Linked DNA regions of Canis lupus familiaris. The protein of the gene in region 1 interacts with the protein of each later gene in a pairwise test. Links are inferred from orthologs where the notes say so. Each region holds a gene or a part of one and is shown in the gene's direction. Other genes may lie near its edges.

Evidence for each region.
Region 2: the proteins of TSGA10 (region 1) and ZNF410 interact in binary tests that used the Homo sapiens proteins (3 or more experiments, as listed by UniProt). The two-hybrid records come from large-scale screens. The link is inferred for Canis lupus familiaris from reciprocal best matches to the Homo sapiens genes TSGA10 and ZNF410.
Region 3: the proteins of TSGA10 (region 1) and CDC73 interact in binary tests that used the Homo sapiens proteins (3 or more experiments, as listed by UniProt). The two-hybrid records come from large-scale screens. The link is inferred for Canis lupus familiaris from reciprocal best matches to the Homo sapiens genes TSGA10 and CDC73.
Region 4: the proteins of TSGA10 (region 1) and BIRC2 interact in binary tests that used the Homo sapiens proteins (3 or more experiments, as listed by UniProt). The two-hybrid records come from large-scale screens. The link is inferred for Canis lupus familiaris from reciprocal best matches to the Homo sapiens genes TSGA10 and BIRC2.
Region 5: the proteins of TSGA10 (region 1) and MID2 interact in binary tests that used the Homo sapiens proteins (3 or more experiments, as listed by UniProt). The two-hybrid records come from large-scale screens. The link is inferred for Canis lupus familiaris from reciprocal best matches to the Homo sapiens genes TSGA10 and MID2.
Region 6: the proteins of TSGA10 (region 1) and CCHCR1 interact in binary tests that used the Homo sapiens proteins (3 or more experiments, as listed by UniProt). The link is inferred for Canis lupus familiaris from reciprocal best matches to the Homo sapiens genes TSGA10 and CCHCR1.

Annotation. Positions count from the first base shown.
Region 1 is NC_049231.1:44,604,736-44,610,177, forward strand, and holds the start of TSGA10 (testis-specific gene 10 protein), read left to right. Parts: upstream 1-2,055; 5' UTR 2,056-2,113; coding exon 2,114-2,170; intron 2,171-5,442. UniProt on the Homo sapiens protein: Plays a role in spermatogenesis. When overexpressed, prevents nuclear localization of HIF1A.
Region 2 is NC_049229.1:47,425,697-47,431,168, forward strand, and holds the start of ZNF410 (zinc finger protein 410), read left to right. Parts: upstream 1-1,733; 5' UTR 1,734-1,829; intron 1,830-5,472. UniProt on the Homo sapiens protein: Transcription factor that binds to the sequence motif 5'-CATCCCATAATA-3', and is specifically required to silence expression of fetal hemoglobin in adult erythroid cells.
Region 3 is NC_049259.1:6,439,300-6,443,989, reverse strand, and holds part of CDC73 (parafibromin), read left to right. Parts: intron 1-1,434; coding exon 1,435-1,535; intron 1,536-4,690.
Region 4 is NC_049226.1:29,447,286-29,451,975, reverse strand, and holds part of BIRC2 (baculoviral IAP repeat-containing protein 2), read left to right. Parts: intron 1-3,248; coding exon 3,249-3,327; intron 3,328-4,121; coding exon 4,122-4,170; intron 4,171-4,690. UniProt on the Homo sapiens protein: Multi-functional protein which regulates not only caspases and apoptosis, but also modulates inflammatory signaling and immunity, mitogenic kinase signaling, and cell proliferation, as well as cell invasion and metastasis.
Region 5 is NC_049260.1:82,072,412-82,077,101, forward strand, and holds part of MID2 (probable E3 ubiquitin-protein ligase MID2), read left to right. Parts: intron 1-1,455; coding exon 1,456-1,617; intron 1,618-3,033; coding exon 3,034-3,241; intron 3,242-3,862; coding exon 3,863-4,265; 3' UTR 4,266-4,690. UniProt on the Homo sapiens protein: E3 ubiquitin ligase that plays a role in microtubule stabilization. Mediates the 'Lys-48'-linked polyubiquitination of LRRK2 to drive its localization to microtubules and its proteasomal degradation in neurons.
Region 6 is NC_049233.1:980,654-985,090, reverse strand, and holds the end of CCHCR1 (coiled-coil alpha-helical rod protein 1), read left to right. Parts: intron 1-105; coding exon 106-218; intron 219-379; coding exon 380-425; intron 426-566; coding exon 567-703; intron 704-816; coding exon 817-1,005; intron 1,006-1,118; coding exon 1,119-1,220; intron 1,221-1,226; exon of another isoform or gene 1,227-1,561; intron 1,562-1,769; exon of another isoform or gene 1,770-1,974; intron 1,975-2,625; coding exon 2,626-2,777; intron 2,778-2,883; coding exon 2,884-3,052; intron 3,053-3,303; coding exon 3,304-3,416; 3' UTR 3,417-3,568; downstream 3,569-4,437. UniProt on the Homo sapiens protein: May be a regulator of keratinocyte proliferation or differentiation.

The DNA of each region.
Region 1 (5,442 bases):
CATTTTTTTTAATGAAAAAATTTTTTTAAAAATATCTTATTTATTTGAGAGAGCAAGAGAGGATGGGATGGGGGAGGGCAGAAGGAGAGGGAGAAGCAGGCTCCTCCTGAGCAGGATCCCAGGACCCTGAGATCATGACCTGAGCAAAAGGCAAATGCTTAACCAACTGAGCCACCCAGGTGCCCCTAATTTCAAAATTTTTAAAACTTTAAATTAAAAACACACACAACATGGGGCTTAAACTCACGACCCCAAAAGCAAGTCACATGCTCTACTAGCCAGGCACTCCAGTTCATGTTTCTTTGTAACTTATTTTATCAGGCATAATTATATTTCAGAGGAAATATAGTTATGGCATCTCTGACTTCAGAGGAAATATAATTATGGCACCTCTGACTTCCTTGTTTAAAAGAACACAGACACTCAGATTATTTAGTGACTAGCTATACTTAGCTGAAAGTATATAATAGCTGAAAATAAATGCTACAAACTAGAAGATGTAACAACATAAATAATGAAGAAATCGGAGATGGGGAAAAATAACGGCACTCATAATTAAACGTACTTTTACGAAGAAATTTGTTCTAACGTGTATTTATGACTGCCAATAACATACTGTGGAGGGAGAGAGAAATGAGTACTCACCTGGCAAAAACAGGAATTGCTAATCTCTTCAAATGTGAAATTACTTTTGAAATACAGAGGTGCAAACTTTATCAAGATCATCAGAGAACAGCTATAAAAATCTAGTTAACTATTTCACCTGTAGGAAAAGATACGGCGATAAAGCCATTAGAATTTAGAAGCCTTTGGGTTAGGACAGATTAATATTAAGAAATGTTAAAAATAGGATTTCTTTTCAAGCCGGGCTCCCAAAATTTGGCAGAGGAATGCAATCCTCATTCTTTTTCACTAAAAAGCTCATTCCTCTACTTTTAGGTAAGGCGATGGATTTTAACATAGTTGGATGGCCGATAATGTTACACTTGGTTAAATTAAAAGAGTGTTCCAAAACTGAAGGCTCCCGCTCGGGAGAAGACAAATGCAGATGGTGTTAAACAGGCAAACGATCGATACAATATTAAATATCAAGTGAGATAGTATACCCTTTCCCCTTTTGTTAACCATCACCAGTTTTTCTGGAAAGAGGTCTTTGGGGGAACTGGCACGTGGAGAAGAACACCGGTCAGGGATCTGCGCCTTTTCATTACGAGTTGTGCCACCTCCCGATTCAGCCATGGCTGACTGGTGCAGGGCTGACCGGGTCGTGGGTCATGGCTCCCCCGGCTGCAGGCGCTTACCCGGACAGAACTGCTCTCTCCGGAGAGGCTGCAGCAGCAGGACCCGACCTAGGAGACTCCCCGAAAACCGGCTCCTGGTTACGCCAGGAGAGCTCAGCAACCTTCCAGCGCCCTAAAGGGAGTAACGAGTTCACTGAACGTGGGTCCAGAACGACACCGTATCCCGAGGGGGAAAAAATGCCACAAAACTGCAACAGCAAAGCAACAGGTGTTCCAAGAGCGGAGGGAAGAAGGCAGGCGGAGATACAGCCCTGCGCATGCGCGTTCCATCCAGGTGCGGCAGCCACAGGCAGGGAGTAAGAATTAAGCTGTGGAGAAGCGGCCAGCGGCTGGTTACTAGGAGACGGGACGCTCGGGTGGGACGTCTAGGCCCTGCGTGGTCGTACGCCTGCGCGGCGCGGATGGACCAGGAAGAGGCGTCTGCTCCGCGCCCTGTACGGTGGGCAGGTGGACATACGCGTCGCTACGTGCGTGGCTGCGCACGCACGGCTGTAGTCCCCGCGAGAGAGAGAGGCGAGCCAGGTACGCGTGCGCACGGGAACTGGGGGCGCGCGCGACGGAAGCGGAGCGAAGGCGCCGGGGAGGTGGAGGACGAGCCCCCCTCAGGTACGGAGCGTGAGGGCGGGGCCGACGGCGGCGCCGACCGGCGCTAACCGCCCCCGCCTCCTTCCCCCCGGGTCCCGCCTTCCTCTGCCTCCGCCGGGGCGGAGCCAGGCCGCAATAGGGGTGGGAAGGGAGGGGAAAGGGGCGGAGGATGGAGACGGGGAGGGGCCTGGATCCCTGGCGCCGGCGGTGGCCCGCCAGTCGTCGCGATGAGCTCCGGGGAGGATGTCGGGCGGAGGAGCCCGGGGAGGGACTCGGAGCTCCAGGTAGAGGCAGCAGGGTTGCGCCGGGTTGGGGTAAAGCAGCCCCTGGGTCGGAAGGCCCCGCATCCGGGCGCGTGTGACGGGGATTAGAGGCCGTGGGTGACCTCCGAAGCGGGAGTTCGCTGCCTGACTGGCTGCGAGGGACGGCAGCGGGCAGAGCTGTGGTCCAGGGAAGCCCACCGGGAGCAAACTTTGCCCCTGTTGTCGTTTCTTGGGCGCTTCGGGTTGAGCCCAGTTCCTATGGTGACCGCTTCGCTTCCTGCCGCAGCTCTCCGCCTGGTTGTTGGGGACACTGTTCTGTTTAGAAACGCTTGGACTGGAGGTGAGGAATTTGGAAGTCAGAGATTTGGGAATTCAACCTGCTATTCCCGACTCCCAGCCTCTCACTTCTAAGCCTCTTGATAGACTTTGGGAGGTGAAGGGCCGAGATTACGTAGGTATTTGCATGAAAGTCTCTTGTAATTTTCGGTAGAGATTATACACAGGAAAGGCAGAGTAAACTGGGTTTTGTTTGAAAAAAAATATTTGAGATTAAAGTTGAATAACTGCGGCGATTATGGACCGGACATCTAATTACACAAAGGAATACATTGTTATTGTTTGTTTGTTTTTTAAAATAAAGTCAAGGATGGAGGCTTCAAGAAAAATGTGCTTAGGTAATATACCCCGTGTTTTCCTTCTTACACTACAGGGCCTTATATCGCAGGATATTCGTTGTTTTAAGTTTCCTCTACTGGTTTTCAGCATTTAAACTACACTTTTCTTTTTAACCTGTAAGAAAATAAGATAATAATTGGTTTACGACTAGAAGAAACCAGGTTAGAAACCAGAAACTAGAAACATAAATGGAAAGTGTCACATTCAAATCTGCCTTCAGGATAAAACTGATTCTTGTTTGTATCTTAATTGCTCAAGGGACTAAACCATTCAATTTTAATTAATGAGAAGTAACTAGGAAGGCGTTATTAATGAAATATTTACTGTAAAATAAACTTTGGTGTGATTTAATGGCAGCTTCCAAAATATACTTTATTTTGTTGACTTGGAAAAAAGAAATCACTGCTTACAGTCCGGCATATAATCAGATGTAGAGATTCTGTTGGCTCTTTTCCTGTCTTCTTTTTAAGTTGCTTAGATCAGTTTTAGAGTAATTTGCTTTTAGAGTATTCCATATACAGAGGCAAGTAGAGCAGGTGTTACTATTCATTTTTTTCCTCATCACATGCTCTCTCTTCTCCCCAGATGTAGCCACCATCCTTACTTCTTATGATAACCAACCACTACCTTGCTTTTCTTTAGAGTTTCACTATCTTTGTATAGGAACCCGCATATTCTAGTTTGGCTTGTTTTTGAACTTTATATAAATGGAATTGTAGTAACTATTCCTTTTCAGTTTGCTTTTTTACTCAATGTGAGTTTTTTTTTTTTTTAAGATTTTTTATTTATTTATTCATGACAGAGAGAGAGAGAGAGAGAGAGAGAGAGAGGCAGAGGGAGATGCAGGCTCCATGCAGGGAGCCCGATTTGAGACTCGATCCCAGGTCTCCAGGATCACACCCTGGGCTGAAGGCGGCGCTAAACCGCTGGGCCACCAGGGCTGCCCTCAATGTGAGGTTTTTAAGTTTTATCCTTGTTGCTTGTAATTAGTTTGTTGTTTAATGTTTACCTAATCCACTATTAATGTTTTTACAGTTTTTGGTAAACATGAACCATTGCTGTGAACTTTCTCATATATGTGCCTCATAAGAATCTTTTTAATTGAGCTAGTTAGTAAGGTAGTTCTATTTGTGTTAGTTATGGGATTAACATGTTTATTATTAATATTTTTTAGTTTATGAAAGCCCCTTGAAAACAACTCTTTAACTCCTTCTTATGTTTCTTAGAGGTCTTGGTAAATGATACTTCTCCTAAGGCCATTGCTTTATTTTCCTTAAAAAAGACAAGTTATTCCTTTACAGAATAGTCTGGATTAGAAATAAGGAGCTTAAGTTTGAATGGATAATTAGATTATTTGTTTTTCATAAGAAAGTTTAAGCATTATGGCTTTACTGTTTTGTTTGAAGGGAATTCCCAAAATGTTTTTTGACTTACTTTTATAGTACAAAAACCTGTCTCAAAATTACTCAAAGAACTGTGTGATTTTTTTACATTTTTCTTTTAGTGAGGCTATTTCTTCCTACTTCAGTGTCTATCACTGTAAACTTTTGGAGACAGCTTTACAAAAAGAAAACAAGTAGACTTTTTGTGGAACCAGATTTCAGAATTCCATATAAAGTACTACAGTATTTTTAATTATCCTATCAAAATATTTGATGACATTTGTTGAGCATGTATTATATGCATGATATTTTGCTCAAGATTGATATTTTTTTATTTTTAGCACATGATCTTACCTCCTATTTCATAAAAAATGAAACTTCTACTAGGCAGGACTTTAAATTACTACCCCCTTTTTTTTTTTTTTTTTTTAAAGATTTTATTTATTTATTCATGAGAGACACAGAGAGAGGCAGAGACATAGGCAGAAGCAGGCTCCAAGCAGGGAGCCCGCTGTTGGACTTGATTCCGGGCCTCCAGGATCATGCCCGACCCTAAGGCAGAAGCCCAACTGCAGAGCCATCCAGGTGTCCCAAATTTCTACCCCTTCTTATCTAAATCTTCACCTGACCTTGCTTTCCTCTTATCTCAAAGGACGGACAGTGCACATACCGTTTATTTGGGTTTCCTTTTATTGGCTCTGTGGCCTTTCTCCATTAGTTAACATTAACCCATTCTTAGGAATCTTCGATGTGTTTATACTGTAGGGCTTCTTAACCTAGTGGACAAGAACTTTAGAGAGTTCTTGAATCCCCTGAAATTGTTTGTAAAGTTTTGTGTGTGTTTTTATTTTCTTGAGGAAAGGACTCAGCTTTTATCTAATTCTGAAGGGAGTCCTTGATAGAAAGAGACTTAAGAAAAGGTTTTCTCCTTTGTAACAACCATTCAACAACTGTAGTTGTCTTCTGCCTTTCACTCTACCTCTCATGATCATGCTTCCTAAAATAACTCTACGTTTTCTGTTTTCTTTGTTCATTACTCATTTATTAGTCCTCTTCAAATATGCTTCTACCTCATCTGTACCATTGAAACTACTTTTTTGAGTCATCAAAATTTTGTTATTTTGAAAATATTCTGTTGATTACCAACTTTGTGCTGAGCACTTCAGTAGCCATTAGAGATATAATAGCGAGCAGACAAAAGCCCAGATCTCTTGGAGTTTACATTCTAGTAGTGGG
Region 2 (5,472 bases), on another chromosome or scaffold:
AATTTAGAGCTTGTGGAGTTTTCAGGATAGGAGAGCAGAGACTTTGTGTTGAGAAGATAAATAACAGGTCAGTCAGGTTGATGAAGAAACTAGTTTACTACAGAGGATGATCTGTGTTTTGCTAACTAGTTTCCTCTATAGCATAAAAACTCAATATATATTGATAAAGCATGTTTGTTTTAAGTTAGCAGGCATATACTGTCAAATAGCATAAAGATTTTCCAGGGCAAATAGATATAAACATCACTTGAAGTTTCAGGTGATTAGAAATATTTAGGCAATCAAGACAGCTTTAGAAAATGACAGGACTAAGAAAATTAACAAATGTTTGAAACATGAACGTTCAAAATTAATGTGCCTTTAAATAAGAGGATCTGTTTCATTAATTATAATCAGCCCTTTACAACAATAAAATTGATTTTATTTTCCTAGGTGCTGTGTTGGTTTATGGTCACCTGTTTACACCCTGCTCTATACTTTTGCCTGCGACATTTGTGGAAAGTAGATTTACATTGTTAGTAAATCAGTCACTCTGGTTGACTTCAGTGTTCTCGTTTTATATACCTTTCCTGGACCATTTCATCTCCAGAGAGCACTTCATCTCTGGTTTATATGTTGATAACTCCCAAATCTTTTTTTTTTCCTTTCTTTCCTTTCTTTCTTTTCTTTTTTTTTATTTAAAGATTTTATTTATTCATGAGAAACAGAGAGGCAGAGTGAGAAGCAGGCTTCTCGCAGGACCCTCATGCGGGACTCCATCCCAGGACCCTGGATCATGGCCTGGGCCAAAGGCAGAGTACATTTCTATTTCTGACCTCTTACTCGAGCTTAAGACCTCCCAAGTAAAATATCCTGTTGACACCTGGGATAAACTGTTTATCCAAAAAGAAATTACCTTCCTCTTACGTGTTTCTACTTTGTTTTTAAATCACCATCCTTTGCACACCCAAACTACTACTCCCTCACTCATTCAGATGCCTATCATTAAGGCTTGTGTTTAACCTTGAAAATAAATACCTTTCTTAGAGAACGCCTTTAATTTCCATCACTGCCACTGCCTCAGTTGAGGTCCTCATCCTTTGGCACACAGCAGGTACTCACAAATGAGTAATTTCAAAAGTCTCAACCGCATAAAGCTCTAACAAGTTAGTTGTGGCATCCAGCCTGGAGCTCAAGTGTTTTAGTCCCCAGTGTGGATATCCGAGACCTCTTTGCATCCTAACACAGGGAACCCAGACTCTAGGGAGATCATGTTACAAGGAAAGTCGTACACTCGAGTCTCAACTCTTACCCTGTGCGAATGCAATGCTGAGCTAGATTCTGCAAGTTCCCTTCTCAAGCAGTGAAGCTTCGAAGTGTTCCTCTTCAGTGAGAACTCTGGTCGGTGTTTAAGGAGTGCTCTCCTTCTCGCTGGCCTCCATTGTAACTAGTTCCGATCTCAGCTGACAGGAAAAACTACCTCATCTGCCGCTGCGAGGAAGCGGCGACGTCACGGCTGGAATGCACTGACCCCGTTTTTCGGGTTTCGCAGACCTCGGGGCCCCGAGGCCTGGAATGACTAGGACGCCGGAGACCGCAGCCCTAGTCCCGGGGGCGGGGGTCCAGCCCTGCTCAGACAGCCGGGTCCCCGCGCGCCTCGCCCGCCTCAGGCTGCCCCCGGCGCGGGGCGGCCGCCGTCCGGCCCGGGGCGAGCGAGTGGGTGTGAGCGTTGGGGGCCGGCCAAACTTCCTGTCCCGCGCTCCTGCTGCTTCCGGCGGGAGCCGGAAGACGCTGTGTGTGGACGGAATTCGGGACCGCCTGACGGCCGGCCGGCTGCCCGGGACGGAAAGGTGAGCGCCGGGCCGGGCCGGGCCACACCCGCGCGGCTAGGTGGTCCCCGGCAGGGAGGGAGCCGGTAGCGGCCTCTCGGGAGCTGGGGCCGAATTCGCTCCTCCTCCCCACCGCCCGGAGAGGACAGGGAAGCCGCCCCCCTTGGGCACCCCTCCCAGATCTGGCGGGCCCGGGAGCGGCCGGTCTAAAGCCCTGCGGCTTCGGCCCTGCCCCTCGCGGCGTAGTGGGGCGGAGGTTTCGGCTCCTTTGCTTGGTTTTGAGGGCGGGGGCTTGGGAACAAGACGGTCCCGAGAAAGCTGGAGTCAGCGAGTCCCCAGGGCGGGGGCTGCCGGACTGCACCCGCCGCCGGGCCTGCCCGCGGCCCTTGGGGCCTCACGCTAAGGCCGTTGCAGAGGGGGAACGAGGATGCCAAGGGACTCTGCCCTGGTTCTTTCGGCCCGGAGCTACCTTCTTCCTTCATACGTCCACTTACTTCCTGAGTCTAGGAGGAAGGCTGCCGGCTCTGAGGGGCTTGGCTGCTCGCTTCTCCTCCTGTCGTCTCCAGGCGAGGCTGTGGGCTGAATGCGTTCGCAGGTTAAATTTATCCTCTGAAGTTTCTTCAGAGACAAGAATGCAGTTAGTCGATTAAAGTTTATCCCACTTGCTCACGCATGTGGGATATGGGGCACCATTCGGAAGTTTAAATATTGCTAACTTGGGACTCAAGAATTTGTATTTCTTCACTTTGGCACGCGGGTCAATGCAACATACTTTCAATGAGAGTGAAAGAAACATTCTGAAATAAAGTCAGTGGCATTTTGTTGTTAGGGAGTGAGAAATTCCACTTTGGGTGATCTTAGCGTGGACAGAGTAAACTCAACTGAACAGAAGATTTAGGTTCTTCTTATTTTTTTTTTAAAAGATTTTATTTATTTATGAGAGACACACACAGAGAGAGAGGCAGAGACACAGGCAGAGGGAGAAGCAGGCTCCATGCAGGGAGCCCGACGTGGGACTCGATCCCGGGTCTCCAGGATCAGACCCTGGACTGAAGGCAGGTGCTAAACCGCTGGGCCACTGGGGCTGCCCTTAGGTTCTTATTTTTAAAAATTCTGCATCTAAGTAAATGTCTGAATTTTTGACAAGTTACTTAATCTCTAGCTCCCCCCTCCCCCCAGGGGAAGAGACTTACCTATTTATTCAACAGATACTTCCTGAATGCTTAATTTGTTCAAAGCATCATACTTGGTTAATGCAGAGTTAGAATGAATAAATTCAGCGGCCTTAACCAGTGAAAAAAATATGCATGTAGACAATTAACAACCAAGACAGAATGGAATAATTGCTAAAGAGAGGTGAAACAGTGTGTTGTGAGAACACCAAGGAAAAGAGAGATTTGTTCTTACTGGAGGGAAAGGATCAGAGTCTTACTGGAGGACGGCACTTGAGTTGGATTTTAAAGACTGGAAAGGATTTTAAAACATCGCAACTGGATTGGCAGTACTTATTACTGGTTGAAGAACTAGTCTAAGCAAAGACTTGAGCACTGATATAGGCTGGTGTGTTCATTCAAAAGCCAGTCCCTGTCGGCTGGAGTAAAGGGTTAATTGAGGAATATGGACAGTGCTGTAACTGGAACAGTAGTTGAGGATACATTGTAGAATATTTGAAATGCCATGCTGCCAGGCTTAGGAATTTTCTCAGGCCCTGAATTTTGAATGAGTAGAGTAACATAAGCATTTCTGTGTTTTAGAAAGATAACGCAAGTGGCTGCATAAAAAGGTGGACTGAGGGACGCCTGGGTGGTCAGCAGTTTAGCGCCTGCCTTCGGCCCAGGGCGTGATCCTGGAGTCCCGGGATTGAGTCCCACATGGGGCTCCCTGGATGGAGCCTGCTTCTCCCTCTGCCTGTATCTCTACCTCTCTCTCTCTGTGTCTCTCATGAATAAATTAAAAAAAAAAAAAGGCAGATTGAAAAGGGAATTTTTAGGGCAGCTTGACCCCTTAGAAGCCTATTTTAATAGCGTAGTTGAAAGATAATGAGCCCTAAACAGAGTATTACAGGAGGAATAAATCTGAGGGAGTCAGAACTACTGGGGTTATTTATTTATTTTTTAAATAGTGGTTTTATTGGTTACATATATTTCAGCTATCTACTGGGGTTATTTAAATATGGAGGATGAGATATTGTTAAAGACCTAGAATTTGCAGCTGAGTGGGAAGAAGATTGGGCAATAATTTAAGTGGATAATATAGGAAGAACAGGTTTGGTGGTGGAGATGATAATCTGGATTTTGGACATTGTTGGTTTGAGATGGATATCCAAGCAGTTAGAAATGAAATCTGGAGTTTATTTTTTTTATTTTTTATTTTTTAATTTTTATTTATTTATTTATGATAGTCACAGAGAGAGAGAGAGGCAGAGACACAGGCAGAGGGAGAAGCAGGCTCCATGCACCGGAAGCCCCATGCGGGATTCGATCCCGGGTCTCCAGGATCGCACCCTGGGTCAAAGGCAGGCGCCAAACCGCTGCGCCACCCAGGGATCCCGAAATCTGGAGTTTAGAAGAAAGGTCAGGAATAGAGACAAATTTTTGGTATTATTTGCATGTCATTCATTCATTGTACGGATACTTAGTGCCTACTAAGTGCTTGCAGGGAAGTTTATATGGAAGCCCTTTAATCTCATAGTAAATACAATCTTAGAGTGTCACAGTATCAGAAATGACTCTTGGAGATGTAACTTCCTTATGAATTACATATAGTACTTTGCCAGACACTGTGTTAGGTAGGGGAAAGTAAAGTTATGAACAAGACAGACTAGTTCCTGCCCTTATTTATGGAACTTAAAATTTAGGAGGTAGCCAGACAAAAAACAAATACTATATAAAACTAAAGGAATTAGAAATAGGAGAGTTAGAGACTAAAGATGGAAGTATTAGGAATATTCTTTGGGTAAGGTGGTCAGGCAGACAAAGCCTTTCTAAATGAGTTGATAGTTAGAGCCCAAAGGAGTGAAAAAGAGCTAACCAATGGAGAGAGGGGACAGTGTTCCAAGGTAGAGGAAATGACATGTGCACATCTCTAACATCAGAAAGAGCTTAATTTGTTCAAGGAACTAAGATGGCTAGAGCTTGGTGAGCAGAGAGTGACTCTGGAGTGTGGTTGGGGAACGAGGAGAGGATCACATAGGTTCTTATAGGCTAGGATAAAGAGTTTGGATTTTTTCTAGGTGCATTGGGATGCCAAGTAAAGAATTTCAAGCAGGTGAGTGAGATCACATTTTAAGATAATCCTTACTACTGTGAAGAGAATAGAGTGGAGGGAGACAAGAGCAGGGAGACCAGTTAGGTAGCACTAACAGTAGTTTTAGAGCAAGTGTTGATGCTGGCCTGAAAAAGGGAGGTGGCAGTAGAGATAGAAATAGGTGGATTTGCTGTCTCAATAGGACTTGCAGCTGGACTGGATATTGGGAGCAAAGGAAAGAAAGTAATAAAAATGACTCCTAAATGGGGTCAGTGGTGGTCCCAGCTTGAGTGGAGGGTTGTGGTGAATGAGACTGGCGTGGTGTGATGGCAGATAGGGTTGGGAGAGAATTCATTTTGGACATATTAAATTTGAGATATCGAGTTAAAACGTTAAGCAGAGACGTCAAGTAAGCAAT
Region 3 (4,690 bases), on another chromosome or scaffold:
ATTTAATTTTAGCCTTAGAGATTTTGAGCAGATTAAGATTTTTAAGCTGTGGTTTTTCACAATAACTTGAATTGTTGCAGTAGGTCTTTTACTTGAATAGAAGATAACCTGGTTTAATGCTTTGTTGGCTGTATAGAGTTTTCATCTAATGCAGTGGTTATCAAAGTGTGTGATCTGTGGACCTCTGGGCATTCCTAAAACCATTTTAAGGAGTTGTAAGGTTAAAACTATTTCCGTAATAGTACTGAGATGGCTGTTGTCATGATTTATCAGTCCTCACACAGGAACAGTAGCATAACCAGTGCACAAGAGTAATCATTCCCTCCATTTCTCCTCCTCATTCTTCTTCTCTCCATCTCTCTTCTGACTCATGGATTGTCCGTGTGCTTCTGTTTCCTCATCTGTAAAATGGGGGCAATAATAGTACCCACTTCATTAGATTGTTTGGAAGATTCAATGTGTTAACATATGTACAAGATAAGGTGCTTAGAACAATACTGGCCCATAGTGAATGCTCATAGTATGTCTTAATGTTAACTATTACTGTTTATATTATGGTTTTGTTCCCACTTCTTTAGTTCTATGCTTAAACTGCTTATGGCCTTTGTATTTATAATGATTTCTCAATTTAATTAAATAATTTGTGAACTAATGAAATATGAAGGCCTAGAGAAAGATTTGTTCTTTTTATGAAAACAAAATTGAACGGTTGGAAAGACAAATTGCTTTAAAAACCCCAGATAGGGGTGCCTCGGTGGCTCAGTTAGTTTAAGCATCTGACTCTTGATCTCAGCTCAGGTCTTGATCTGAGTCATGAGTTCAAGCCCCATGTTGGGCTTAAAAAATAAAGAGAATGCTAGTAGAATTTAGGGTGAGTGAAACAATTGTAAACAATTGGAAAAATTGAAGTCTAATGACTTTTATACTCAGATTACTTTCTAAATAATAGAAGAACTCAAAAATAAGACTTTGAGGTTCCAGAAAATGGTTGGTGAGTTACTATAATTTATAATGTTTTTAGTTAAAGTAAAGCGTTTAAGATGTATTTGAATTTTAGATGATTTCCTTTTAAAACCAACTTTTTCAATTAATAGATCAAGTCATGTTCCCTAAAAAATGGGCCCTTATTCTAGAAGAAGGGCAGATTAAAAGGTTAAAAAAGATTGCATATAAGGATTGTGTTGTGTAATTATGTTTAAAAGACTTAGGTGCAAAAACAGATGCATAAGAAGTATAACAATCATTAATACACCCTAATGATAACATTGTAACAAAGAGTTACTCTAATGTACTCTGTCTCACAGATTTGTTGACAGGAGACTATGCCACATGAATAATTGAAACCTTTCCTTAAGGATTTACAGTAATCAGAGTTCATGTTTGAGATATTGTCTCAACCCTTGAGCTCTAACTCTGTCCCTTTTCTATTTATAGGGATCGGGTTGTAGCAGTTTTTGTGCAAGGTCCTGCATGGCAGTTCAAAGGTTGGCCATGGCTTTTGCCTGATGGATCACCAGTTGACATATTTGCTAAAAGTAAGATTCTCTTTATTTTTACTGCCTATCCAATATAGAAATGCTTTTGCATTATGTACAAGAAAGCCACATATGGCTCTGCATATATGATATATACATTAAGACATGCTCATTTTTAAGCACCTGAGAAATATTTTTAAAGTATTTTTTCAGACATTAATATTTGTTTAATGTACTTATGTCTAAAAGTAAATTACCGTATCCTATTCCCACATTGGGTCACTTAAAAAAGGATTAATTTGTTGCACATCCATACATTTTTATTAAAATTGATGGCTAGTTTTTAAAGGGGTTGACTTTTGCTGAATAGTAATGTATAGCTAGAACTTAAAGAGCCATATGACTTTTTACTGGCTATTTCCATTGTCCGGAATGATTATAGTATGCATGATGTTTTTTGTTTTTTGTTTTTTTTTTTCATTCAAGCATAAATTCAAGTATTGTCTCCTTTAGAGAATCCTTCTCTGGCCAACCAGTAAATAACCATTACTTTCTCCCAGTTACTCTTTAAGCTCCTTTTTATGATAGTACTTACTGTTGTTTGATATTATCTTATTTATATCTTTATTTTAAGTCTTCCTTGGCTATAAGGCTAACTTCTTGGTGGGAAGAGCCCTTTTCTGCCTTGTTTACCCTTGAATTATCACAGAAGAGTGCCTGTCATAGAGGAAGCATTCAGTAGATCATCTGTTAAATGAATATTTCACGTGGCTTATATCTTTTGGTATATTGGAGATTAATTTATTAATTTAGTCTGGTTTTTGCAGTAGAGATATTCCAATTATTATTTAATTCGAGTACCCAATTAAGTTAGTAACCATAGTAAATTTTTTTTTCAAAAGCATTCTCATGAAACAAGTATGTTTATTAGAAATGACAACTTCGATTATTATGAATGTGAAGTGTGCTACTGTAAAATCCAGCCATTTTAAAAGCAACTTCAGATTTTGTTGGCAGTTACTAAACCATTCTCCCAAGATAGAAACTACTGCCCAAGCTTGAAAGTTTTAATCATTTGTTCTGCTCTACTTTCATTCTAGACAATGATTCTAATATTACTAATATTATGATAGATTTTTATGTTATTTCTGAAACTTGAATAATACACAGTTGATAAATAGAAAGTTAAAGGTGGAGCGAGAACGGGAATTTAAATAAAATGTGAACACAAATGTTTTACCTACTTGCTTGCCTTTTTGAATAGTGTTGTAACAATAACAAAAAAATGATTAAAAGGTCTTCAAGATGTAAATGCTGTCTAAATTTCAGAATGTAACGATGTTAGTAATTGTTTTTTTCAGATTGTTAGTCTTCTGAAACTTAGATAAGAACTTGAGACTTTTTTAATAGTTAGCAATTAGCGATTTTATTCCATGAATTATTCTTTCTTTTCAATCTTCCTTCCTTAATGAACATTTAAAATGAAAGTCCCTTCCATCTTAAAACCCTTTCTCTTGACCTTAACTCTAGCTCCTCTTTTTTCTTTTACTTGAATTATCTCTACTAACTTATTTTCTCTTTGGTTCTCAATTCACTGTTTGGCTCCTTTGCTCTCTACTAAACTATTCTCACCAAACTTATCAGTGATTCAAATACTATATACTTTTGAGCTCCTTAAGGGAATTTGATTCTCTTGACTTGGTTCTTTCTTTTTAAAACGTTCTTTTCCAAAGACTCGTATACTCTTTCTCAGATTCTCTAGCTTCCTTTGGCTTTCAGCTAACTACCTGTTTATGTTTTGTTTCTCTTCTCCTTTATTATTGATACTCTCTCAAGGAGATCTGATAGCTTTCAATTACCATGTTTAATCTTCCCTTTATTCTAAGTTTGGTCTCTAGTTTTATATTCTGGGCCTATGTATCTCACTTAATTAGCAGATAACGCCTATGTGAGACCCTATTGGTACATCAGACTCAACCTGTTCTAAATGGAGTTGATTATCTTATATTCTCCCTCATTCCCATACTGTTTCTTTTCCGCAATTAGTTGGTTTCCTTGCTTTTTACTTGCCTTTTCTAGGTTTTTACCCTTTCCCCCATCACACACATAGAAAATGATAACATCTATATAGCATGGGGAAAAACTGAGGGTATTTAGGACCATCTATATGGGCCCTGGTAGAAAACTTATATTTTCTTCATATTGCATAATATAGTAGACTACAAAATTTTAGAGAAGATATTAAGTATAAATTTTATAAATTGTATAAAATTGATAGTTACCATTGAGAAAATTTTTTCATTAGTAATCTATATTGTGTTACTTCTTTGTCATCTGACATGCCATTATTGTACCTACAAAATACTATTCAAGACCATTGTCTTTTTTTTTTTTGCTTCTTTGTTCCTGTAAAATAATGTTGACAAGTGTCTTGCAGTTTGCACAAAATGAACAATTCTGAATTATGTGAAGTATTTTGCTTTAGTACTGATTGTGCTACCAGAGAGATGACTGACTTTCTTATAAAAGAACTTCATTTGTTCTATTTTTTGCTGAGGATTAAAAAGCTAAAAGTCTTTTTCTGAATAAGAGGTTTTATAGTAATGTCTTGATGTAAATTTGCCACCATTCCTTTAATGCTAGTAAAATATTCTGTATGGTGAGAGAAACTTTGTGCTTCTCATTTGTGATTTAAACTTTTTGGACTGTCATGTTTCACCTTAAATTATAAAAGTTGTCTATTCTGGTGGAAAAATAAATACTGTATAAACTAAATCTATTGAAATTAAGGAGTGGGGGACTGTAGGCCTTTATAGCTTTAGAGAAATCTTTTTTTTTAATCTTTTTTTTTTAAGATTTTATTTATTTATTCATGAGAGACACACGAAAGAGGTGGAGACACAGGTAGGGGGAGAAGCAGGCTCGCCGCAGGGAGCCCGATGTGGGACTCAATCCCAGGACTCTAGGATCACGCTCTGAGCCAAAGGCAGACGCTCAACCACTGAGCCACCCAGGGATCCCTAGATAAATCATTTTTTAATTTAGTTTAATTTTTTCCTCATTTTATCTGTTTCATTTTTTCCCCCAGATATACCTAATATATTTTTAAGAGTGAGGGGTACCTGGGGAGCTTGGTCGGTTAAACATCTTGTCTTTGGCTCATGTCATCCTCCCCAAGTTTCAGGATCAAGCCCTGCATTGAGTTCCTTGCTCAG
Region 4 (4,690 bases), on another chromosome or scaffold:
TTGGACATGTCGTGTGACCCATTTGAAACTCTGTCCTCCTTTGTATAGTGAGGGGGTTAGACTAGGTAATTTTTTAAATTGTGGTAAAAAATACCTAACAAAATTTACCGTTTTAACCATTTTTAAATTTCTCCTTCTGTATGTACTTCTCTGCATTCACATTGTTCCTCAGTCATCACCACCAGACTTTCCTGTCATCCCAAGCATAGCTTGTACTCCTCACATGGCTCCCCGTCACCCCCACAGCCATGGTTCTTCTGCATTTCACCAGGTGCCTCATAGGAGTGCAGTTGAGCAGGACAATGTCCTGACCTGAGTGCCTTTCATAAGAATGAGGAATCTCTTGAACACCTTCAGGAAATTAAAACATCCTTTTGTCTTTTTTTTTTTTTATGATTTAAGATAAAGGAACTTGAAGTAAGAACTATTTTGAGTCAGTACATTGTTAAAAGTTGTGTTTTGGAACGCCTGGGTGGCTCAGCGGTTGAGCATCTGCCTTTGGCTCAGGGCGTGGTCCTGGGGTCCTGGGATTGAGTCCCACCCACATCAGGCTCCCTGCATGGATCCTGCTTTTCCCTCTACCTGTGTCTCTGCCTTTCTCTCTCTCTCTCTCTCTCTCTCTCTCTTTCTCTCTGTCTCTCATGAATAAATAAATAAAATCTTTAAAAAAAAAAGTTGGGTTTTAAAATTTTATCTTTAATATTCATAACCTAACACGGTAAAATCTGACGTTCTAATTCTCAAAAGTGAAGTTGTGTTTAAATTATTTAGGAAAAGTGTTTTATTATCAGAATTTTAAATGACCATTATGCTTGGCTTTATGGGATTGTATACATATAATTTGAAACTTAATAACTATTAAAAAGACAAAAATAGCTTTCCAATTCTGGTGTTTGATTTACTTCATTTTGCGCTTTATAAAACAAGACAAAATCTTGGTTTATTCATGTAATTTGTGTTTTGTTTTAGATAGTTAAGGGAAAAAGGCTTAGGGTGCTTTGTGTAAAGACTTCAGAAAACAGCAAATTTCAATTATGGATAACTTTAAATCTCAGTAAATGGAAAACAAAAATGGATCACGGTTATCACTATTTTGTAACAGTTCACTTGTCACATATTTGAGTCCCTGGTGGATGATAGTTCTGCTACTGCAGCTGTAGCAGCGATGAAAACAAAATCTCTTTTTTTTCTTTAAAGATTTTATTTATTTATTCATGAGAGACACAGAAAGAGAGGCAGAGACACAGATGGAGAAGCAGGCTCCATGCAAGGAGCCTGATATGGGACTCAATCCTGAGAATCCAGGATCATGCCCTGAGCCAAAGGCAGATGCTCAATCACTGAGCCACCCAGGCATCCCAAAATCTCTGTCCTTAGTGACCTTGTTAGAAAAGGGGGCAGATCTGTGAGCGGGGGTTCATTATACTTGCTGCTTTAATCATTATGTATGTAAATTAATCAGTCCTGGTAGAAAAATAACTTAAAACTATAGGATAATAGAGAACATTGTGGGAACTATCGGTCTTGTCTCCGTGACAGACTTAAGTCTTGAGTGTGCTTAAATGATCTCTGCTAATTCTACCTAGTAACCAGTTGAAGGACATTTGGGTTGTTTCCAGTTTGGAGTAATAAGCAGCAAAGCGTCTGTCAATATTAATAAACATCCATGGGCATGTGTTTTCATTTTGCTTGGGTGAATCTCTAGGCTTGGGATTTGTGGGTTGTATGGGAAGTTTTCCTTAGGGCTGCTGTGTTGTTTAAGTGGCTGCGCTGATTTGGATTCCTCCCAGAGGTGTGTGAGACCTCCAGGTGTTCCACAGCAGTTACTGTAATTGGTATCACCATCCTGGTGGGTGTATCATGATCTTTCTCTGAGGTTTTTTTTTTTTTTATTTTTTTATTTTTTATTTATTTATTTATTTATTTATGATAGTCACAGAGAGAGGGAGAGAAAGAGAGACAGGCAGAGGGAGAAGCAGGCTCCATGCACCGGGAGCCCGATGTGGGATTCGATCCCGGGTCTCCAGTATCGCGTGCTGGGCCAAAGGCAGGTGCCAAACCGCTGCGCCACCCAGGGATCCCTCTCTGAGGTTTTAATTAGCATTTCCTTAATGATGAATGACGGTGAGCTAATTTGCCTTCTGCATATCTTCTGCCCATTTTAAAGTTTTTTTTTAATTACTAAGTTTTGAGAGTTCTTAATGCATTTTGGGTAAAAGTTTTTATTAGGTTTGTTTTGCCAACTTTCCATGTGTGGCTTGTCTTTTCATGGTTTTAGCAGTAGCTTTTGAGGATGTCATTTTATCAGTTTTATCTTGTATGGATTATGCTTTTGGTCTCTTAGCTAGGAAATCTTAACTGGCCCAAGGACAAAAAGATTTTCTACTGTCTTCTAGAAGTTGCATCGTGTTAGATTTAACATCTCGGTCTCTGATTTATTCCTAGTGAATTTTTGCATGCAGTGTAACATAGGTGGAGGCTCATTGTTTTTCTGGGTGGGTGCTGGACTGTTTACTGAGAGACACTGATGGGGTAAAATGGAAGTAGCTGTAGGTGAGCTGCTTGGAAGGCTTTTGAGCAGCTCTAGGAGTTTGTGAACCAGTTTTTGGGAAACACCATCATATTGCATATAGATATGTTTCGGGGAGAAGGTTTGTGCTTCACAGTTAATGGAAGAGTGGACCCCTGAGAAAGATTAGCAATTGTTGTGAAAGATCATGTTTTAGGAATATTAATTACAGCTTCTGAAACTATGTGAAACCCCAAAAGTTAATTGCCCAGGACAGCATTTTTCAAGTCTTAGCTTGTGCCCCTTTGAGGGCTAAACCCTTTTATTGTTAAGCGTTTATGTGATAAATAGAAAATAACACAATGTGTCACAATAGAGTAGTGTTTCACAAGGAGTCTTTTTTCCTGCTTGATAGGCTGTGATGTAAAATGTTTATATTGTGGGGTGCAATCAGAGAGTTTGAAAGCCACTTTTCTAGAAGATTAGGTCATATTTTTTGGTATAGAACACTTTTTAAAAGTAACTTTTGTCTTTAAAATTATTTTTAAAAGATTTTTATTTATTCATGAGAGACAGAGAGAGAGAGAGAGAGGCAGAGACACAGGCAGAGGGAGAAGCTTGCTCCACGCAGGGAGCCTGACATGGGACTCGATCCTGGGACTCCAGGATCACTCCCTGAGCCAAAGGCAGTCGCTAAACCACTGAGCCACCCAGTGATCCCAACTTTTGTCTTTTATAGGTGTGAGTTCTTGATACGCATGAAAGGGCAGGAATTTGTGGATGAGATTCAAGCTCGATACCCTCACCTTCTTGAGCAGGTAAGTTTTTATATTTGGCAATGCTGAATTCTCTTGAATAATAATGACAAAGAATATTATTAAGAGTAATATTTACATTTGTTATTGATTATGGTTAATTGCATTATACCCAATTAATGACACCTTAATTTTTATTTTTGTTACTACTTTACTTGTTCAGGGCTTTTTAAAAATTTTTGGGGGGTGCCTGGGTGGCTTAGTTGAGCATCTGACTCTTGGTTTTAGCTCAGGTTATGATCTCAGAGTTGTGGGATTGAACCAGTGTTCCTGCACTCAGCAGGAAGTCTGTTTAGGATTCTCTGTCTCCCTCTGCCCCTCCTCCTGCTCATGCTTGTTCGCTCTCTTTCTAAAATAAATAAATCTTTAAAAAAAAAAAAAAGATTTGCTTTTAAGTTTCTGAAAAATCAATCTCCCACTGTACAAATTTGTGGTGGGATTGGAGGAGGATCTGTAGTGCCTCCTCTATCTTTTGCAGGAAAAAAAAAAAAGCAACTTGTTAAGAATTGGGAACCTGAGAGTGATCTAGCTGAAATATCTTTTAAGTGGAATGAGAAACCATGAATATTTTTTCCTCCTTTCCTGAAACTAAGAAATGCTTGAACTATAATTTGGAAGTAGGTAAAGTTTAAGGGGATTTTTATGATGATTAAAGTAAAACAGAGCAAAATAAGTATATAAATTACCTAGTTTTCCGAAGTGTGTGTACATTACTTAAGGTAAACTTATCTTGTTGTTCTGTTTAAGGTTGTTTGAGATTTTTTATTTTACCTCTTAATTTTTCTCCTGTTCCATAGCTTTTGTCAACATCAGATACTCCTGGAGATGAAAATGCTGATCCACCAAGTATGTATGGAAATATTCCAGATATAGAATGGGAATTTTTATAAGAATGTTAAACACAGAAGTATATAAATAGAGCTATGTTTTGAGTCCTGAGGACATAGAAAAAAGTGCTGAGAAGTTAACTAATAAATATTATGTATCTGCTAAGATTCATGACATTTTTAGAGTATTCTAGCAAGTATACTAATCTTTGTTCTTAAAGTTGCTTCCAACTGGGGACACAGAACATATGCAGAAGAGAAATAACCATCACAGATTAGCTCAAAGAATACCACATGAGAAGTGTAAATAATAAGCCCTCCAAGGAAGAAAAGTTTGCTATAAGCTAGTATGTTTGGAAAGGGCCAGTTGATACATGATTTAAGAATTGGTCTAGATACTAGGTATTTATTAGGTGTGTGGTATTTATTTATTTATTTATTAATTATCTTATTTATTCATGAGAGACACAGAGAGGCAGAGACACAGGCAGAGGGAAAAGCATGCTCTATGCAAGGAGCCTGATGTGGGACTTGATCCT
Region 5 (4,690 bases), on another chromosome or scaffold:
TGCAGTTTATCATTCATATTGTGAATTGGCACGTGGATAACCAAGCCCTCCAACATTATTCCTGGCCCTTATCCTTATTGCCTTTCATGAGCATAACTGAGCTTCTTCACCAGTTATTCTTTCTAGGACATCTCTGTTTGCCCTCCACTATGCCTCTTTTTCTAGTTTTACTTTAGACTTTTTTAACCTCCCATCAACTTCATTATAAAGCCCTCATGATCGGATCTCTTTCAAGACACTAATGATTATTATTATTCTTTGCTAAAACACTCATGATTATTTTTAATTTTCAACCTCACTAAATCCTTTATGAGGGTTGCATAGAAGTGACTAAATTTACTGCTCATGTTTCATGCCCCCATTCTTTTGCATGCTTTGGTAGAATTGTGGTTAAAAAGCCGGAAACTGATTAAAAAGCAGATAACAGAAGAAAAGAAGCCTCGATAATTCACAAATAGAACAGCAACCCCTCTTTTACTCACAGTTATCCAAATACGTGTTTTTAATTATGCACATTTTTCTCTGTTTAAATCAGTGTTTATGGTCCAAAGAGTTTTGAAAGCAGAAACCTAGATCTCTGGGCTTGAGAGGGAAGAAGGTTCCAGGCAACAATGTGTTCCTGGACCATCCTATTTCAAATGAGTATTAGAACCAGGAAGGGGCAAAAATGGGTAGTATCAAGTGAGGAGATGGCAATTTTGGCTTTGTTTTTCATGCCATCTCTTTGGCTTCCCTATGATACCTTGGAGCCTAGTTAGTTTTGGAAGTAAGGGTGAGGATGGGGTGGGAGAGATGAGCCATACATAAGCCCTGGAAGCTTCAATACTTTGCAGGGACAAAGGAATATTGTTATCTACCTCATGAATTGTCATGTAGTGGGTGGAGAAAACACTGGACTAGGGTTAAGGAGACCAGGATTACACTCTCCGCACCATCACCATCTGTCTGTGGCCTTGGGCAAGTCACTTTTTTCTCTCAGTTTCCCATTTGTCAAATGAGGGAAATACAGTGTGTGGGTGTCCTGTTGGCTCTGACAGTCCATGTTCCTGTGCTCTGCCCAGGACTGCTCCATCCATACCAGGTTAGAGTCAGCTCTCAGAGGATTGGACCTTTGGTGTAAAGATCCAGAGACTCCATAAAAGTGATGATTCTGTGACTTTTGTAGAGTGGCCTTTCCTATGGTACTGGGCAGAAAACTGAAGCAACCTAACTTTCACGAGTGATGACATTCAATTATCAGAGGCAGGGAGCCTGGCCTAAGCCTAGCTCCGTGGGAGAAAAGAAACAGAAGATATTTACCTCACTCTGTCTCCTGGGACTCCAAAGAAAACAAAATGAAATTCACTTTTTTTTTTTTTTTGGTGGTGGTAGTGGGGGCTTTTAATGAATTGTCAGTGTGCTTCTCATCCTCTATTATCTGCTGGCTAATGTTCTATCTTCCTCCCCTCTTTACAGGCCTGTACAATTCAGTGGATAGCTGGATGATTGTGCCCAACATTAAACAGAACCACTACACAGTGCATGGACTTCAGAGCGGGACCCGCTACATCTTCATTGTTAAAGCCATAAACCAAGCAGGCAGCCGGAACAGTGAACCCACCCGACTAAAAACAAATAGTACGTTATGGTGATTCCAAAAGGAGAGTTCCATTTCCCCTCTGCACCAGGGAGGTCCTGAGCAGGCACCCACAGCAGTTTGTGCTTTGGGCCTGGGATTTGCTGGTGACCTTGGGAAATACATGAGCACAAAGATACACACAAAGTATATGTAGTAGCAGCTGGTGTTTGGAGAGGGTGTTATTACAGGGTTTTTCTCTGTACCCCATCCCATGCTTGGAGCAAACAATTGTGTAAAACAGTACTATTTGTGATAATCTGGTAGGATCCTTCTGCAGAGAAGCCATACCTGTTTGGAATGCTTCTGACTGAAGTTGACTGAAAATCCAACTAACTCAGCTTAATAAATAGTATTTGTGAGTAGCTAAAGCAAATCGTATTTTTTTCTCTTTCTCATATAGCAAGAAGTTTGAAGGTGGGCAGTTCAGAGCCAGTGCAGCAGCTCGTTCTATGCTAATGATGTTGTAGAAGACCCAGGCTCCTTCTCCCATTGCATATTGACTTATTGTCACATGGTCACAATATGGCCATTGCTACCTCCAGAGGTCATATTTCCTTTTAAGATAGGGAAAGGAAAAAAGGGTTGGTGCATGTGATGGCTGTCTCCTTCTATTGGGAAAGCAGGCACTTTCCCCGAAGTGTCCCCAAATCTGTCTGACTTCTCTTTCCATTCACTTCCATCTTATTAGCCACCCCTAGCAGCAAGAGAGGCTAGCAACAGGAATATTTTATAGTTTTTCTGGCCTCTATAGTGAAAGTGGACAAAAGAGAAAAAGCAGGGAATGGGTGTTGTGTTCAGTGTCTGCCACAGACCCATTTTGTATAATCCAGCTCTTGCCACACCCAGCAATTGGCTCCTAGTCACTTGTGTCGTCTTAATGGTTCTAAGGAATTCTCTGTCGTGAATGATCCTACACAACAAATGTTCTCTCTGATCATTCATGATGTATCAGACACTCTAATGAAGTCACTTAATCATGTTATTTATATCCCAATTGTAAGAGGGTAGAAGGATGGCCTTTACTGAGTTCTTATTTTTTTGTTCTGTCACCAACCAGCAATAACCTCATCAGTTCCCCTCACACTATCTCACCTTGAATACTCCTTCCACTAAGATCTACTTAACTCCCAAACTACCCACTGAAATAAAGCAGAGTTTAAAACATATTTGAGAACATGAGGTCCTGAGAGCCCTCTTTTAATTTGATAACATATGGGGGGCAGCTGATTATTTTATTGAAAACGATGCCTTCAGTCTCTATTTCCATAATGTAATAAAAATAGCAGCCAGCTCGCACTGGCCCAAGAATATCAAGAATCATATCAAGAATCCCCTGGTAGTGATAGTCCTAGGGGACAAAGATGGCATTCTTAAATACTTGCTCATGCATTTTCTTCTTCTCTACTTTTTTTCAGGCCAACCCTTTAAATTGGATCCGAAAATGACTCACAAGAAGTTGAAGATCTCCAATGATGGGTTGCAGATGGAGAAGGATGAAAGCTCTCTGAAGAAGAGCCATACCCCAGAGAGGTTTAGCAGCACAGGGTGCTATGGGGCAGCAGGGAATATATTCATTGACAGTGGCTGCCACTACTGGGAGGTAGTTATGGGTTCCTGCACCTGGTGAGTAGATCCTGCTTTTATTTTTTTCTCCCTTTTTCCCCTGTTGTTAGGTTCCTGGGAGATACAGTTCCATAGTACAAACATAGTACCAGTAAGTCAAGGTTAAAAGACATGTGATGAAAACCACTCCTAGAAAAATTGGCTGGCTTTTGTAAAATAAAATAAAATAAAATAAAATAAAATAAAATAAAATAAAATAAATAAAATCTTGAGAAACACACTGGGCTAGGAGTTGGAAATTACTCCAGCATTCTATTTTTTTTAAGATTTTACTTTTTTATTCATGAGAGACACAGAGAGAGAGAGGCAGAGACACAGGCAGAGGGAGAAGCAGGCTCCCTACAGGGAGCCTGATGTGGGACTCAAACCCAGGACTCTGGAATCAGGACCTGAGCCAAAGGCTGACGCTCAATCACTGAGCCACCCAGGTGCCCCATACTCCAACACTCTAATTGCTGACTTTGTCCGGCTCTCATGCTATGAACGTTATAGGCCTAAAATGTAAACTATTTTGTAAAGGGGGAAGCACGCATTAGAGTTCTTATATATCCCATGTGGTGTCCAGCACAAATCAGATCATTAATAAATGTTCATTTCTCTCTCCTTTCCATGGGCTCACAGGTATGCAATTGGTATTGCCTACAAGTCTGCTCCCAAGAACGAATGGATTGGCAAGAATGCCTCCTCATGGGTCTTCTCTCGATGCAATAGTAACTTTGTAGTGAGACATAACAACAAGGAAATGTTGGTGGATGTGCCCCCACAGTTGAAGCGTCTGGGTGTCCTTCTGGATTATGACAACAACATGCTGTCGTTCTATGACCCAGCTAACTCTCTCCATCTTCATACTTTTGATGTGACCTTCATTCTTCCAGTTTGTCCAACATTCACAATCTGGAACAAATCCCTCATGATCCTGTCTGGCTTGCCTGCCCCAGATTTTATTGATTACCCTGAGCGGCAGGAATGCAACTGCAGGCCTCAAGAATCCCCTTATGTTTCTGGGATGAAAGCTTGCCATTAAGTTTCAAGAGAGCATATAATTCACTGGCTCTCTAGTTCAGCACTTCCTTCCTTCCTAAACCTCAGTTAGTGTCCAATATACAAGATACAAAATGAAGTTCATTTGAAGCATCCAAAATAACTAGATATTACAGATTTAATTTTTGTGCATTAAAGCCTATATTTGAATTAAGGTATTGAGTTTCTCAGAACGAATTGTCTGAGTAGTCTGAGTTCAAGCCATTGGAGGGGAAATCTAGGGAATACCCCTCTTATCACTGGAGAATTAACAATTCCCAGTAATCTGGGAGTATAAATTATTTTGGAAGGAATTAGGATAATTCTAAGTAGATAATGTAGAAAGATGCTCTGAACAAGGGGCTAGCCAGCCAGAAGGGTGTGCATGGGCACATGTTGGCCTTTCTAGTTTGGCTAAGTAGGATTTGA
Region 6 (4,437 bases), on another chromosome or scaffold:
TGCATATTCAGCAGTATAGGATAGAAGGAGTTGTTCCTACGAGTCACATCAGGTCCTTCAGGGGATGAGTGGGGTGGAAGGGTCAGTGATGTGTGCCTTCTCCAGCTTTCAGACCTGGCTCCAGAGCACCATGGCTGAAGTGGAAGGGGCTGCAGCCCGGCTGCCCTGCCTCAGCAGCCGAGTCAGCTATGCCGTCCGCAGGGTCCACACGATTCGGGGTGGGTAGGGCAACTGCCAGACACGCTGTACTCCTGCCCCTGCCTTCCCCAGCTCTTGCCTCCCACATTTGACCTCATGCCTTCTTGTCACCAGACCATGCATCCCTTCCCCTTTCCCTCCTCAAGCTCCTCTCCGTTGCTCTCTGCCTTTTCTCCCCCAGGCCTGATGGCTCGAAAACTGGCCCTTGCTCAGCTGCGCCAGGAGAGGTGAAGCCTGGGGCACTGCGGTGGATGGGAGGGGGTTAAGGTGGTGTCTGCTGGGACCCCAGACAGTGAGGACTGAAGGGGATGGGGGCTTAGGGATCAGGCTAGGTGACTGCCCCTGACTCTTTCCCTTCCCTGCTGCAGCTGCCCCCCAGCCCCGCCAGCCACACACATGAGCCTTGAGTTGGAGCAGCTGCGGGAAGAACGGAACCGCCTGGATGCAGAGCTGCAGCTGAGTGCCCACATCATCCAGCAGGAGGTGGGCCGGGCCCGGGAGCAAGGTACGCTTGGTCCTGGCGTTACAGAGCTGGAGCAGGGGCCAGAGTTGGGTGTGTTGGGGAGGGAGGAGTGGAGTCTGGCCACGGAGAGACCTTTGAGTGCCATCTCTTCCCAGGGGAGGCGGAGCGGCAGCAGCTGAGTGAGGTCGCCCAGCAGCTAGAGCAGGAGCTGCAACGCACCCAGGAGTCCCTGGCTAGTGTGGGGCTGCAGCTGGAGGCTGCTCGCCAGGGCCAGCAGGAGAGCACAGAGGAGGCTGCCAATCTCCGGCAGGAACTGACCCAGCAGCAGGAGCTCTATGGGCAAGGTGTGCAGGATGCGGAGTCTGTTTACCACGGAGGGCTGTGAGGAACGGAGAAGCAAAGCTTCCTCTGACACATCCCATCTGCACCCCCGCCCCCCCCCCCCCCCCCCCCCCAGCTCTGCAAGAGAAGGTGGCTGAAGTGGAAACCAGGCTGCGGGAACAGCTCTTAGAAACAGAGAGGAGACTGAATGAGGCTCGGAGGGAGCATGGCAAGGCAGGTGAGATTTGCTTGGGTGGCTGTGGTCGTCCGGGGAGAAGGCAGTGTTGGACATAAGGGTTTTTTGTTTTGTTTTTTTAAGATTTATTTATTTGTTCATGAGAGACAGGCAGAGAGAGAAGCAGGCTCCCCACTGGGAGCCTGATGTGGGACTCAATTCCGGATCCTGGGATCACGCCCTGAGCCAAAGGCAGGTGCCCAACTGCTGAGTCACCCAGGTGTCCAAGGATCTTAAAGCTGTTTTTGAAGTATGCAAATAATGAAGTTACCAAGAAATGGCACAAATACATTCTGAGGCGGTGAACACACTCCTTCAGCCAGCACACATAGGAGCACCAGCAGGTGGCCAGCCCTAGTGCCCCCTGAGCCCTGCCCAGCCACCCCCCTCCACAAGGCCACGGCCATCCCAACCTCACACCAACCATTACCCCCAACTTTTTTCTTTTTCTTTTTCTTTTTCTTTTTCTTTTTTCTTTTTTCTTTTTTCTTTTTTCTTTTTCTTTCTTTTTTTTTTTTTGCCTTAAAGCAATAGAAAATTGTTCTCTTACAGTACTGGAAGCTAGAAGTCTGAAGTCAAGATGCTGGCCAGGGTTGGTGCCTACTAGAGGTTCTGAGAGTCTATTTTATGATTCTCTCCTGCATTCTCATGGTTGCTGGCAATCAGTGGCATCCCTGGTTTGTTGGCACATCATTCTTTTGTGTGTCCATCTTTACATGATGTTCTGTGCTGCACGTGTCCGTCTCCCAACTTTTTTTTTAAAAGATTTTGTTTTTGAGTAATCTTTACAACCAGCATGGGGTTCAAACTTACCTAAGATCAAGAATCATGTACTCTACCGACTGACCCAGCCAGAGGCTTCCCCTCAATGTCATAGTAGGGAAAAGTTCAAATACCTAGCCAAATTACAAGACTCATGCAGTGCCCACTTGTGTACTTCCTCTAACTAGATGCAACAGCTATTCATCTATTTTTTGTTAAAGATTTTTTTTAAAGATTTTATTTATTTATGAGGGACATAGAGAAGCAGAGACACAGGCAGAGGGAGAAGCAGGCTTCCTGCAGGGAGCCGGATATGGGACTTGATCCTGGGACCCCAGGATCATGCCCTGAGCCAAAGGCAGGCACTCAACAGCTGAGCCACCCAGGCGTCCCTAACCTCAGTGTCATTGGCACACATTAAGAAGACATTGATTGCACCAAATTGAATATTCAGTACACATTCAGATTCTCCCTAAATGAGTCCAGGAAGGTTCAGGGATGGGGTTGTGGAGCATCAGCCACTGTGCCCAGCATGCAGAAGACATAGCCCCCCAGTGTTCTGCCCACAATTCCAGCTGTTCTCATGGTGCCTCACTACCTCTGGGTTGCCCCACACCTGTGCCCTCTGTACCCTGGCTTCCACTAGTGGTCTCCCTGCGCCAGATGCAGCGCAAAGCCACCTGGGAGAAGGAGCGGAACCAGGAGCTCAGGCGCCTGCAAGATGAGGCCCGGAAGGAGGAGGGGCTGCGGCTGACCCAGCGCCTGCAGGAGCTAGAGAGGGACAAGAACGTTATGCTGGTAGGGGGTCAGAGACTGGGCCCTGGAGCTGCCTGGGGAGTAGAGGCCTCATTGGGGAGGGGTGGCTCTGCCCGGGCTAGGTGGCATTTGACCCTCTCCTTCCCAGGCCACCTTGCAGCAGGAGGGTCTCCTCTCCCGTTACAAGCAGCAGCGACTATTGGCAGTTCTTCCTTCCCTCCTGGATAAGGGAAAGTCTGTGGAGTCCAGCCCCAGGGACCCAGGGTCTTCAGCAGCTGTGCCTCTGGCAGCACCCACCACCAGGGAGTCCATAAAAGGTAATGGTCTAGGTAGGAAGGGATGGATGGATGTACAGGACTTAAGGAATCTCTCCTCCAGGTGCTCTTAATGGTGTGAGCATTTTTCTCCATGACCTTTGGAGGCCCACAGCCCCTCATCCATGCCCACCTTGGGCCAGAGAACACCCTCCCTCATAACCCTCCCATCTGATGGCAGTCCTGTTCTCTGCAACCGGAGCTGCAACAGCCTTGTCTGTCTGGCTGCTATCCCTGGGGGTCTTCTTTCCTAGGATCCCTCTCTGTCCTGCTCAGTGATCTGCAGGGCCTGAGTGAGGCCATTTCCAAAGAGGAAGCTATTTCTCAAGGAGGCAACCCGAACTGTCCTGCTCCAGTGTGTGGCTGAACAGCTGGGGACTCTGCCTCTGGGGGCTCAGGGTGAACAGCTGGGGACTCTGCCTCTGGGGGCTCAGGGTGGGGGGCCGGCCAGCTGCCCTCGTGGATACCAGCCACCAGGATGTCTGAATGCTGTGGCTCAATAAAGGTGATTACAGTGTGCCATGTTTTCTCTGGGACTGAGAGGGAATTCCCCTGCAGCCATCTCCATCCACCCGGAAAATGCGAGAGGTGGTCCCCAGCTGTTTTCTCTAGGTAGTGCCTTTCTCAAAACCCCTTCCCCAGGCTGCTTGAGAAGTTTCTGGCAAGCCCCAGGTTTTCTTTTTCTCAACTTTTGTTTTAAAACTCTACTTCTGGAAGAAGACCACTGCCCAGAGTGAGGAATATAAAACATCGCTCATTTGCTCAGAGTCAGGCAGTGTCCTCGCTCAGGGGCCATAGTGGTGGGCTTGCTGAGTGGGTCCCTGCTGCCGAGGCACTGCTGTCCTGGTGGTAGAGACAGATGATGGACAGGTACCTAAGTGAACGGACGGGCGTCCTTGGGAAGAGAAAAGACATACAAGGTGATAGAACCTGACCAGGGAGGGGCCGCCCGATGCTGCCTCCCTGAGGAGGGGCTGTGTGGAGGACCTGCCTGAGGTGGGGAAGCAAGCAGCGGCGTTGGCTGGAGTCCTGCAGATGGCAGGCTAGCATGGAGGGGGACCTGGTGGGGTGCGGGTTTTATTCCAGGTCAGTAAAAAGCCCTTGGAGTACTTGTAGCAGGGATGCAACCACATGATTAGGCTGACTTCTTTTTTTTTAAAGATTTTATTTATGAGAGAGAGAGAGGCAGAGACACAGGCAGGGGGAGAAGCAGGCTCCGTGCAAGGAACCAGATGTGGGACTTGACCCCAGAATCATGCCCTGGGCCAAAGGCAGGCTCTAAACCACTGAGCCACCCAGGGATCCCTAGGCTGACATTCTTTTTTTTTTTTTTTAAAGATTTTATTTATTTATTCATGAGAGAGACACACACACAGAGGCAGAGACAC